Linked DNA regions of Sus scrofa. The protein of the gene in region 2 purifies or fractionates together with the protein of the main gene of each other region. This does not show direct contact. Links are inferred from orthologs where the notes say so. Each region holds a gene or a part of one and is shown on either strand. Other genes may lie near its edges.

Region 1 (3,393 bases), on a different chromosome or scaffold from region 2:
TGGGATGATCGAACATCAGAGTCCAAGAGAAGCACATTTACCCCTTTCCAGGACCACTCTTGATAAATCAGATTTGCGCTTATTTAAGTCACATCTGCTTCTGGAAGCCTATGTAGGAAAAGAAGATTGTACAATTGGATGCAATCTCCAAAAGGCAATTTTAAATCAGTGGCACTAAGAAAACGTTTAAATTCAACGTCAAAAGCCAGAAATGAGAAGATTAGGAAATAGTGAGTCGATTAACCTAAGGAATGGAAAAAGCAAGTTAGCATTAGCATTTCTTTCTTTCTTTTTTTTTGGCTGGAGGCATGCAGTGGCCTGAGATGGGATCTCAGCTCCCAGACCAGGTATTGAACTTAGGCTGCAGGGGTGAAAACGCAGAGTCCTACCTAACCACTAGACCACCAGGAAACTCCCGGATTTCTTGGATACCTGTATACAATATTATGCCTCATCATCCCTCTATTATGAAGTAATCGGATTAAAAATTTGTGATTACCCCATGACAGAAGCTCAAGGCCTAAGACATCCTCCACAATTTAATAAAAATGATCCCTCAAGAGGAGCATGAAAAATAAAAATCCCTGCTTGAATCTCTCATGCCTCATCTTCTAAATTAAGATCCATGTAGAATTCCACATAGCAGACAGAATGTGAAGTTAGGTGTATGTAAGAAGAGAATTCCTTGATGGAAAGAACTAAAGGCCTGGGAATATTTCCACAGGGTCAGTAAACACACATAAAGGCATTCCTATTCACAACGGTTGGCCAAGTGAAGGTGGCTGTTGCAGATGAGTCTTTCTCAAGCTTTCCTCCCTTTCCCCAGCCCCCTCCTATGACTCATAGCATAGCACTACTGCTACAGCAGCCACCAAGAAGTCTTGTATCCCTGGGGTACTCTTCCCTCTCATCTCCCTCGTTTGTTTTTAAACCAATCCTCTCTTCTTACAACATACAAAATAAGAGCTCTTTCAAATCATTTTAATAACATGGCAGTGATTCAAAGTATGAAAAAAAAGATTCAAACTTTTTCCCTTTAAAGGGAATGCTAGCATGACTGCTTCACAACAAGCATGATCAAAGGCAATGATGAGACCGGATTCTAATGAGCAAGGGTTGGAGTAAATCTTCAAGGCTCACAGATCGAAGAGCTTGGTTGCACAGTCTCTTGAGCGCTAGCAGGCAGCATACAATTTTAAGAGATTCTCAAAGGACGGGGCGCGGTTGCTGGGTCATAAGCACCTTGAAGCGTTTCTTGATAGTGATCCGGTGTCGAGAATATTTGTCGTCTGGGGAGAACCGAGCAGGATGGGCCGAGCAAGTCTGTTGTCCCGTGGGGTCGAGCTTCTGCTCGAGGAGGAAAGAGATAACAAATCTCAGTAATGGAGTGGTGAGAAAACCCTATCACTGAGAGTCATGAGAGATGGGGCCTGGGATGGGGAGGGGGCAACGCGGAAAAAGGTAAACATGAAGACAGGACACGCGACGGTCGGATCCAGGAGCCAGACACTCCTGCTTCTACTACGCGTAGCTTCTGGGCTTTCTAGTTCCCCTCACCCAGGCAGGCAATTCACTGGCTTGCCTTGACCGCCCCTCCCAACTACAGTTCTCGTCATGCCCATTTACAACCTGTTTCTTCTCACCTTTAAGGTATAGACCCGGTCTCCCTGCTCGTTGAGATAATACTGGAGAAACATGATCACGCTGAAGCCAGTAGACGCAGGTCCTTCCGCAGCTGCTTCTAACTGAAGGCCTAAAGTGTTTGGCAACTTCCTTCCGGTATAGACGGAAGTCTCGCTCTCAAAGCACGCCGGGAAATGTAGTCCAACTTAGGCCTTTCTCCAGCCGGCCGGAAGGGGGCACTACCGCAGGACTTGGCCAGTTGCAATCCAGTTGCAAACTTGCAGGCGTTATGAGACACGTGGAGTGTGCCCACTGTGTGCTAGGCACTGCTTGGCGTCAGTGGGGGGAAGGGATGGATATAGATTGAACATTAATGAATAAAATCCTGTCTTTATCACAAGATACACACCCATTTCAGAGGCAGTGAGCTTCTATTACCTGGAGAAACCAGGGCTCCAGGACCCAGAACCCCTTTTACTTTAGGGAAGAAAGAAGAAGGTTTTCTTCCCTCCCCTCTTTTACATCCGGTTCCCTCGCCCTATTTCAAAGTATTGGCGGTAAAGAGTGCATGATGGGTATTCAATATTCTGTACAGCGAAAAGAGCGTGAAGTTATTTTATGAAACTGGTGAAGTATGTTTTAATGGTCGAACCAAGATTCAAACTCAAGTCTCTACCACAAATTCAACGCCCATTCTTATAGTGGTGAGTAGCTAATAAGACGCACCCCTTAGGGGTATTTCGAATTTTTAAAAGAACGTACAAATTCTCCTTATAGGACTTCTAGTTAAAGCAATGAATTTGGAACCGAGATATCTTTACGAAGGTGGCCGTTATTATTTATAACGGCAGAAACGTTGTAATATATATTAAGTTTATAACCAGAAAAAGCTGAAAGCTTTTTTAAAAAGAGTATAGTTTGTGTTTATTATAATTGCATAAAATACCTTTGCAAGGATTCAGAGGAAATTTGGTTTTCCCTGGGGTAAATAACTCGGTTCCAGAGGAAAGGAATGGTTGGAGACTTGTTATATTTCATTTTGCATAGTTTGACTTTTGAACCATGCTGACATATTACCATTTAAAAAATTAAGATTATTAACAAAAATTTTAAACAAAAATAACAAACAAAAAGAAGGACTTTTTGCTCTTGAAATTTTAGGCTGAATAGCAGTTTTTGATGGAATGGGAGGCTTTTCAGCCAGGGTTAAGGCTAAGCCTTCTGTGGACTGCAGAGCTGATGGTAGTGGACAGTTTGGGAACTGCAGCACAGCTTTCCAAGGAAATGATATGTATACAGCAATTCAATGCCCTTGATCTTCTAAGACAACCCTAATTTCAAACATTCTGTTCCCTTGATCCTTAAGTACACAGACTATGTGCTCTGAATTTGGTTCAGAAAATACAGCCAACACTGAATTAAGTCAAGGGTTTGCCAGAACCTGTTATTAATAGGAAGTCAGTTATAGAACTGGGTAGCATTGAAAGACAAAAACTAGATGTATTGGTGAAGAATTCTGTAGGGAACCAAGATGTGGTTGGGAATCCAGGAAAGAATCTGCAAGTTGCCCCAGAGAGGTGTGCAACAATTGTGTTGCCATACTCTGATTTGGAGGGAATTCCTGGTTACTGCCCACTTCCAGAGCCCTTTGTGGAATCTCTCCCTAACCCCACCCCATAATGCCACCTCCCCTCCCCCCCTGCAGAATGCCTTGGGTCCTAGATTCTAGTTCTGTTTTGATCTGATGTTTACCATTCCTTCCTTGGATCC
Region 2 (3,184 bases):
CTGCTCCATGGTTAAGTGAGGGCTCGTTCAGCCTACTTTCCAAGGCCTCTTCTACTTCTGATATTCTGGGCTTTCCTTACATTTATGTTTCATGAATACAGGAAACGTGAAAGAATACCCACTGGTCATTTAATTCAAAGCTCTAAATTCAATCAGTCATTCAATAAATATTTACTAAGCACCTAACCCCTGCCAGGCATCCAAGGGTCTGAGAAATGGATGTGGAAGACACAGTCTCCCAGTATTCACATGTTACCGTGAATGTGTAACATACTTTACTGAGAATAACCCTTGTGTCTAAGTGATTAAATAGTAAAGCCTACTGGATCTTGCCCAAATATTGGAAAAAATCTGCACAGATAATGGAAAGCTCATTTATATAAAACAAATATTAACTCTACATATAGATAATGCTTCTAATATGTAAGGCTTTCTTCTCTGTATGCTTCACTGCTTAAAAAAATAACAATAGTACAGGAATTATCTTGCACAGTGGGTAAAGGTTCTAGCACTGTCAATGCAGCAGCCTGAGTCACTGAGGCAACACAAGTTTGATCCCTGGCTACAAACTTTCACATGCATGGAACAGCCAAAAAAAAAAAAAAAAATACTACATTTAAATTTATTGGTAAATCATATTTATAATCAAAATTAACTTTCAAAGTACAAGTTTATAAAAATAGTTTAAAGGCTTTTAATAAGACTTACCTTATTTTCAGACACACCAAGAAGACAATTATTTTCAGCATAGTTTAATACATGATGGAACTTGCTCCAAGTCTATTATTAGATCTTTACATAATCTTTAATTGGGCAGGGTTTAGTTTTAATTAAATATTACATAATTGGACTTTCACCCCATCAATTTAAAGTTAAATTCTCATGAATACAATTTCACAAAGGTTATAATATACATATATCAACTGAATATATACCTCAACTACTTACAAGTGAAGGAAGCATTTAGTAATTTACAGTGTTTTAAAAATCTAGCTCCATAATCTCTTTAGAAAAAAAATCCTTTCCATATAATATACAAAGTCCACATTTCTCAGGAAATGCATACATCCACCTAATAGTAAGGTCCAAAATGAGAAGAATTACTATCTTCAGAAGAGGAGGGAGGAGGCAGTGGTGGGGGTGGTGGGGGTGGAGGGAGGGCGTATGGTAAGGGAAGTAATTGGTGAGGGGCCACCGCAGGTGTAGCCCAACCCATGTTTGCAGATACAGGCGGTGGCGGCGGGGGTGGGGGAGGGGGAGGAAGGGAGAAATTGTGTATGTCGAACACGGGAGGAGGGAAAGGGTACTGTGGCATCACGAGACTATCCTGTCTCTGAGGTGGAAATCCTGGGGTCTCCTGAGGCGCCATGGGTCCTGAGTGGTAAAACTGTGGCAGTGGGGGCTGGCCAGGGCAAGGCCGAGGGTGTCTACCCCGAGAAAATCCCCGCGTGAATTCTCTGTTGCAATAGCCTGCTGAAGGCTCCGAGGCAGAGCTGTGAACATTCCAATTCTGGTGTACTTCTGCAAAATCTTCACCTTTAGGGAAAAAAGGATAACAAAATTCAAATTAATTTTAATACATCAAAAATACAGTTTAGGTGGCCAAGGGGCACATGAAAAGATGCTCAATATCAATAAATTATGAGAGAAATGCAAGTCAAAACTACAATGAGGTATCAGTTCAACCCAGTCAGAATGGCCATCAATAAAAAAAATCTACAAAAATAACAAATGCTGGAGGGGATGTGAAGAAAAGGACACCTTCTTACACTGTTGGTGGAAATGTAAATTGGTACAACCACTGTGGAGAATGGCATGGAGGTTCCTCAGAAAACTAATATAGAACTACCATAGCACCTAGCAATCCCACTCCTGGACCTATATCCGGATAAAACTGTAATTCAAAAAGATCCATGCACCCCTATGTTCACAGCAGCACTATTCACAATAGCTAAGACATAGAAATAACCTAAATGTCCACTGACAGAAGAATGGATAAAGTTATGGTACATATGTACAATGGGATACTACTCAGCCATGAAAAAGAAAATAATGCCATTTGCAATGACAGGGATGACCTAAAGATTATCATACTAAGTGAAGTCAAAAAAAGACAAACATCATATGATATCACTTATATGTGGAGTCTAAAATGACACAAATAATGAACATATCCACTAAACAGAAACAGATTCGTGGACACAGAAAAGAGACTTGTGGTTGCCAAGGGAAGGGAGTGGGTGAGGGGAAGGACTCGGAGTTTGGGACTGGAAGATGCAAACTATTATATACAGAATAGATAAATAACAAGGTCCTACTGTATAGCACAAGGAACTATATTCACTATTATGTGATAAACCATAATGGAAAAAAAAATCATGAAAAAGATATGACAACGAAAAAGAACATACATGTATAACTGAACCACTCTGTTGTACAGCAAATACTAACACATTACAAATCAACTATGACTCTAAATTAAAATTCTTAATTGTAAAAAATTACTGTTTAAAACTTTAGTAATACCTTTTCTTTAACTTCCAGTGTATCTTAATAATTATACATTTATAAGGCTTAAAATTATCAATTTTAAATGAATCCAAAAGGTCAGAGGATCAGGAAAAGAAGTATGTTTCTTAAGAAAAAAGTACTGATGGGGAGTTCCCATCGTGGTGCAGTGGTTAACAAATCCAACTAGGAACCGTGAGGTTTCGGGTTTGGTCCCTGGCCTAGCTCAGTGGATTAAGGATCCGGCATTGCCGTGAGCTGTGGTGTAGGTTGCAGACGCAGCTCGGATTCCACATTGCTGCGGCTCTGGCGCAGGCCGGCAGCTACAGCTCTGATTAGACCCCTAGCCTGGGAACCTCCATATGCTGCGAGAGTGGCCCAAGAAATGGCAAAAAGAAAAAAAAAAAGAGAAAAGTACTGATGGGCACAAATGATTCTACCAGGCCCAGTTTGCCTTTTAGCCCTGGGAGCTCTTTTTACATCCATAAGCTTGAAAAGCACCCCTGAACAACACATGACTCCGACTTCCCCTGATCAAGGCTACCTCAAAAGCTAGCCAGATGACAGAAAGCAAAGAGAAATCTAGATGTTTCTCTCAGGTTTATTACTGAGGAACTTACATAGATGTAAATGAAGATTGAAAATGACTATTATTACATTTACTCACCTGGTTCAT
Region 3 (4,277 bases), on a different chromosome or scaffold from region 2:
CATTTTACAAGAAGGAAATGGAAGTGCAGAGAGGTAACTTATCTGCCATCCCTCATCTAGGAAGGAGCAAAGCCAAGAATCCACCCAGGCCTATCTTTTAACTCCAAAGCTCAGGCTCTTTCCCACTATGATCTGCTGCCACATACCTTATCCCAAGCCTCCTTACCGTCTTAGAGGGGATATAGACGTAGGGCAAATTCCGGTCTTCACACATAACTGGGAGATGGCAGTATACCTCAACAGGTAACGTGTCTCCTGCCAAAACCATGATCCTGAAATGAGAGAAGCCACTGTCATTTCCAGCTTGCTTGTTCCCTCTTTCAGTTATAAGTGCCACCTCTGAGCTGGCCATTGGGAGTACAGAGATGGGTAAGTTGGCTCCTGCCATCAAGGATCCCAATTATTAATGTGTGTCGCCAAACCTCTGGAAGTACGTGCAGATTGGTTTGGGGAGTGCATTCCTCTGGGAGGTGATCTCTATTGCTTGGCAACAAGTAAACCCACCAAGTGTAACAAAGGTATTGGGCTGAGACAGATGAGGTATGGGAGGGATGCCAAGCAGTAAGAGCTCAGAAAAGAAATCAGGAAGCAATACTTGAGAGGAGACCTGAATGATGAACATCGGTCAGGCAGCCCATGGAGGGGATGAGGACAGGGAAAGCATTTTAAGGTCCAGAGAATCAGTGCAGGTTTGATCCTCAGCCTGGGGCAGTGGGTTAGGGATCTGGTGTTGCCATAGCTGTGGCACAGATCAAAGATCACAACTTCGGATTGGATTTGATCCCTGGCCTGGAAACTTCCGTGTGCTGCAGATGCTGCCAAAAATAAAAAAAATAAAAGGCACCTCAAACTTGTCTAAAACCAAACTTGTGATCTTCCTGTACAAACTCAGCCTCTTCCACTGTTCACTCTCTCAGTGAGTAGGCCCTCTGTCCATTCGCCTCGAATCCATACCTCTTCACTGTATGTCCAAAAGTCTTCTCATCCATCCACTTTAATTCTCTCCATCTCTGCCATCACTAACCTAATCAAAATTGCCCTCACCTCTTCTGCACCAAAACAGCCTCCTATCTCAACTTCCCCATCTAGTCTTCCATCTCTTATCCTTCCCAAAGCTTCCAGAAACATCTTCTTAAGGTGTAAATGTAATTATGTCACGCCCTGGCTTTAACCCTCAGTGGCCTCCAAAGCTCTGAGTACAAAAACTAAACTTACCATGGCTTACAAAGCCCCATGAGAGGACAGCACTTCTGCCCACTACTATCCTCTCCTGCCCTGGGATTCACTTTCCTCTGACAGAATGCTCCTCCCTCCCCCACACAAATTCCTAGAACTTCAGACCTCAGCTATCCCACCTAGCATCACCCCCCCATCATTTTTTATATCTTGAGCAACTACAATGTACCACACACTTCTGGAAAGGAAATAAAGCAGTGAGACGGTTCATCCTGTCCTCAAAGAACTTATTTTCTGATATAAGTGAGAGAGAAAGGGAGTAAGAATGTAAATAAGTAAGGAGGTTCTCGTCGTGGCATGAACCGTGTATCCATGAGGACGTGGGTTAGATCCCTGGCCTCTGCCCTTGCTCAGTGGGTTAAGGATCTGGCATTGCTGTGAGCTGTGGTGTAGGTCGCAGATGTGGCTGGGATCCCATGTTGCTGTGGCTGTGAGGTACGCCTGGGGATACAGCTCCGATTAAACCCCTAGCCTGGGAACCTCCATATGCCTTGGGTGCGGCCCTAAAAAGACAAAAAAAATAATAATAATAATAAGATAGAAACGTAAATAAGTTCCTGAATCTGACAAATGCCAAATAGGGAAGATGTAGGGTAATGAAGTCATTCTCACCGCACCCTGTACTTTTTTCCCTTCTGTAGTTGCCTATGACAAGTTGTAATCCTGTGTGGTTAATGTCACTATCTCCTCCTGTAGCAAGTGCCTGAAAAGGGGCAGACAGTAAATAGTGGCTGCATGAATGAAGCTGGGATCTACCTGAAGTGAGTTGGCTTATATGACTGGCTTCCCCTGGAATTCTCTTTCCCCATGGCCGTCCCTTAGAGCTCGTGCAAGTGATGTATTGACATCTGTGCTGAAAGGAATTTACCGACTAATCACCTGAATATCAGGGCAAGTCAGAGCACTTTTACCTACTAAGTAGGAGGGATACTTTCGTCATCGTTTAGAAATGCAAAACCGGGCAGTAGGGGGTTCTTACCCTTTTTCGCCTTTGTTGATAAATTTCTGAACCTCCTTCACCCCGCGCCGAATCTGCTTCTGCTTTACGGCTGCAACGACAGGGGAATCAGCCCCGGGGGCCTTGGGCCACCACCAGCGTCCCCACCCTGCCCGGCGTCCGCCGCATCTCTCTTTTCTAAAATTTTTATTTATTTTCTGAGGCTGTAGATTTTCTTTAAAAAGTTTTTTATTATAGTTGACTTACAATGTTCTGTCAACTACTGCTATATAGCAAAGTGATCCTGTTATATATTTATATACATTCCTTTTTTCCACATTATCCTCCAGCACAGGTGATTAGATATAGTTCCCTGTGCTATACAGCAGGATCTCATTGCTTATCCAATCCAAATGCAGTGGTTTGCATCTGCTAACCCCAAACTCCCAATCCATCCCACCACCGCACCTTTCTTGATGCATTTGTAGAGCTTCCGTGTCAGTTTGCGAGAAGCCAGGGGTTGCGCGATGGGGTTCAGATTCACCAGCAGTTCATGATAAGTGCGCTCCCCGCAGCACGCATCTGCCTGGGCCTCCGGCCCGTCGGGATCTGCCTTTATTTTGGTCATGGCAGCAACTCGGCAACCAAGTGCCCAAGAACCGAGTACACGCGGCCGGCGCTTCAGAAATCGCTTCCGGGTCATGCCCCTCTGAGGGAAGCAGTCAGTACACGACAGCCAATTAGGAACCCAGGTCCCAGACTCTGACCAATCACCGATGCTAAACTCGTTAAATATAGAGCGGGGGGCAGAGTCTCGGCGGTAGGGGCAGGACCATTCCCACAGCTGAGGCGGGGCGGATTAAGGCCGGAGTCCGAGGACCTCTGAGGGAGGGGGCGGAGCCCGGAGGGAGGCGGGGCCTGGAGGAGGAGAAGAGGGACTGGGACGGCTGCCTCGGCTCGTCTGGCTCGTCTGAGAGTTGCGCGTCAACCATACTGGAGACGAGGGGGCGGAGGCTGTACCTGTGGGGGGCGTGACCAAGTCTAAAAGGACGGATCCTAGCTTAAAGGGCGGGTTCTGCTACCAGAGGTCGGCCCAGTGTGATTCCACACCTCCTTAGAATCTGATCCCTCCAATGGGCAGTGCCGAGCCTGGTCAGGTCCCGGGTCCAGAGCCGGTCCTGGTGGCGTATACCCTAGGTACTAAGGTTAAAGTAAAGCCTTAACTTAATTGATAACGATTTCTTCGTTCTAGCACGATTTCTCACGCTCTGCTCTCTTTCCTGGTAAGGGATGGCCCCATTCATTGAGTGCCTCGATCTGGACCGCTTTTCCCCAGAGAGCCGGTGACTTTCTTTCCCGCCCTTCCCGCAGAGACCTGCTCAGGTGTTACCCATGTGGGAGATTTTCCTGACCACACTTAACCTAAAATTCCAGTCCTTGGGAGTTCCCTTGTAGCGTAGCTAGTTAAGGATCCAGTGTTGTCACTGTTGCTTCTGTGGCGCGGGTTCCGTCTCTGGCGGCGGGAACTTCCACTGGCATGGGAAAAAAAAAATTGCAGTTCAGGCTCACCTTGCATCGGCATCCCCTAACCCTCTGTTTTCCTCATCGTTCCTACCACTGCCTGGCATCACGCACAGGGGAGGCATTGCGGAGACAGCGGGAACTGCAGAAGAAGGCTTGAACACTGAAGCTGAGAAGTTGGGGCGTCGTGGGGAGAGCTCTGAGTAGGCACTCTGTGTGTAGTTATCTGTAGAGGATTAGTGGATGGTGCCGCTGGAGAGGCAAGCAGGCCTAGACCAGGGTGGATCTTGTACCTCTGCCTTATTTCTTGTGTCCTATTGGGTGGATATTAATTAGATCGTTGCTGTAAGTCAGTTGCCTTGATCATGCGGTGTTAGGCCCTCCATTTTTGTGGTGGTGGAACAGCCCAGAAAGTGGAAATTTTTTTTTTTTTTTCTTTTTAGTGCTTCACCCACTGCCTATGGAAGTTCCCAGATTAGGGGTTGTATCAGAGCGGTAGCCACAGGCCTACACCACAGCCACAGCAATGCCAGATCTGAGCAGCGTCTGTGACCTATACCACAGCTCACGGCACAGCTAGATC

The links.
Region 1: the proteins of NAF1 (region 2) and NOP10 purify together in Homo sapiens (co-immunoprecipitation; 6 studies listed by BioGRID and IntAct, with this or other methods). This does not show direct contact. The link is inferred for Sus scrofa from reciprocal best matches to the Homo sapiens genes NAF1 and NOP10.
Region 3: the proteins of NAF1 (region 2) and NHP2 purify together in Homo sapiens (affinity purification with western blotting; 3 studies listed by BioGRID and IntAct, with this or other methods). This does not show direct contact. The link is inferred for Sus scrofa from reciprocal best matches to the Homo sapiens genes NAF1 and NHP2.

Annotation. Positions count from the first base shown.
Region 1 is NC_010449.5:80,159,435-80,162,827, reverse strand, and holds NOP10 (H/ACA ribonucleoprotein complex subunit 3), read right to left. Parts: upstream 1,805-3,393; 5' UTR 1,698-1,804; coding exon 1,644-1,697; intron 1,348-1,643; coding exon 1,207-1,347; 3' UTR 529-1,206; downstream 1-528. Other genes in the region: NUTM1 (NUT family member 1), read left to right, coding at 3,368-3,393. UniProt on the Homo sapiens protein: Required for ribosome biogenesis and telomere maintenance. Part of the H/ACA small nucleolar ribonucleoprotein (H/ACA snoRNP) complex, which catalyzes pseudouridylation of rRNA.
Region 2 is NC_010450.4:51,971,667-51,974,850, forward strand, and holds the end of NAF1 (H/ACA ribonucleoprotein complex non-core subunit NAF1), read right to left. Parts: coding exon 3,176-3,184; intron 1,537-3,175; coding exon 1,073-1,536; 3' UTR 622-1,072; downstream 1-621. UniProt on the Homo sapiens protein: RNA-binding protein required for the maturation of box H/ACA snoRNPs complex and ribosome biogenesis.
Region 3 is NC_010444.4:80,222,037-80,226,313, reverse strand, and holds the start of NHP2 (H/ACA ribonucleoprotein complex subunit 2), read right to left. Parts: upstream 2,876-4,277; 5' UTR 2,802-2,875; coding exon 2,642-2,801; intron 2,286-2,641; coding exon 2,216-2,285; intron 273-2,215; coding exon 167-272; exon of another isoform or gene 1-166. UniProt on the Homo sapiens protein: Required for ribosome biogenesis and telomere maintenance. Part of the H/ACA small nucleolar ribonucleoprotein (H/ACA snoRNP) complex, which catalyzes pseudouridylation of rRNA.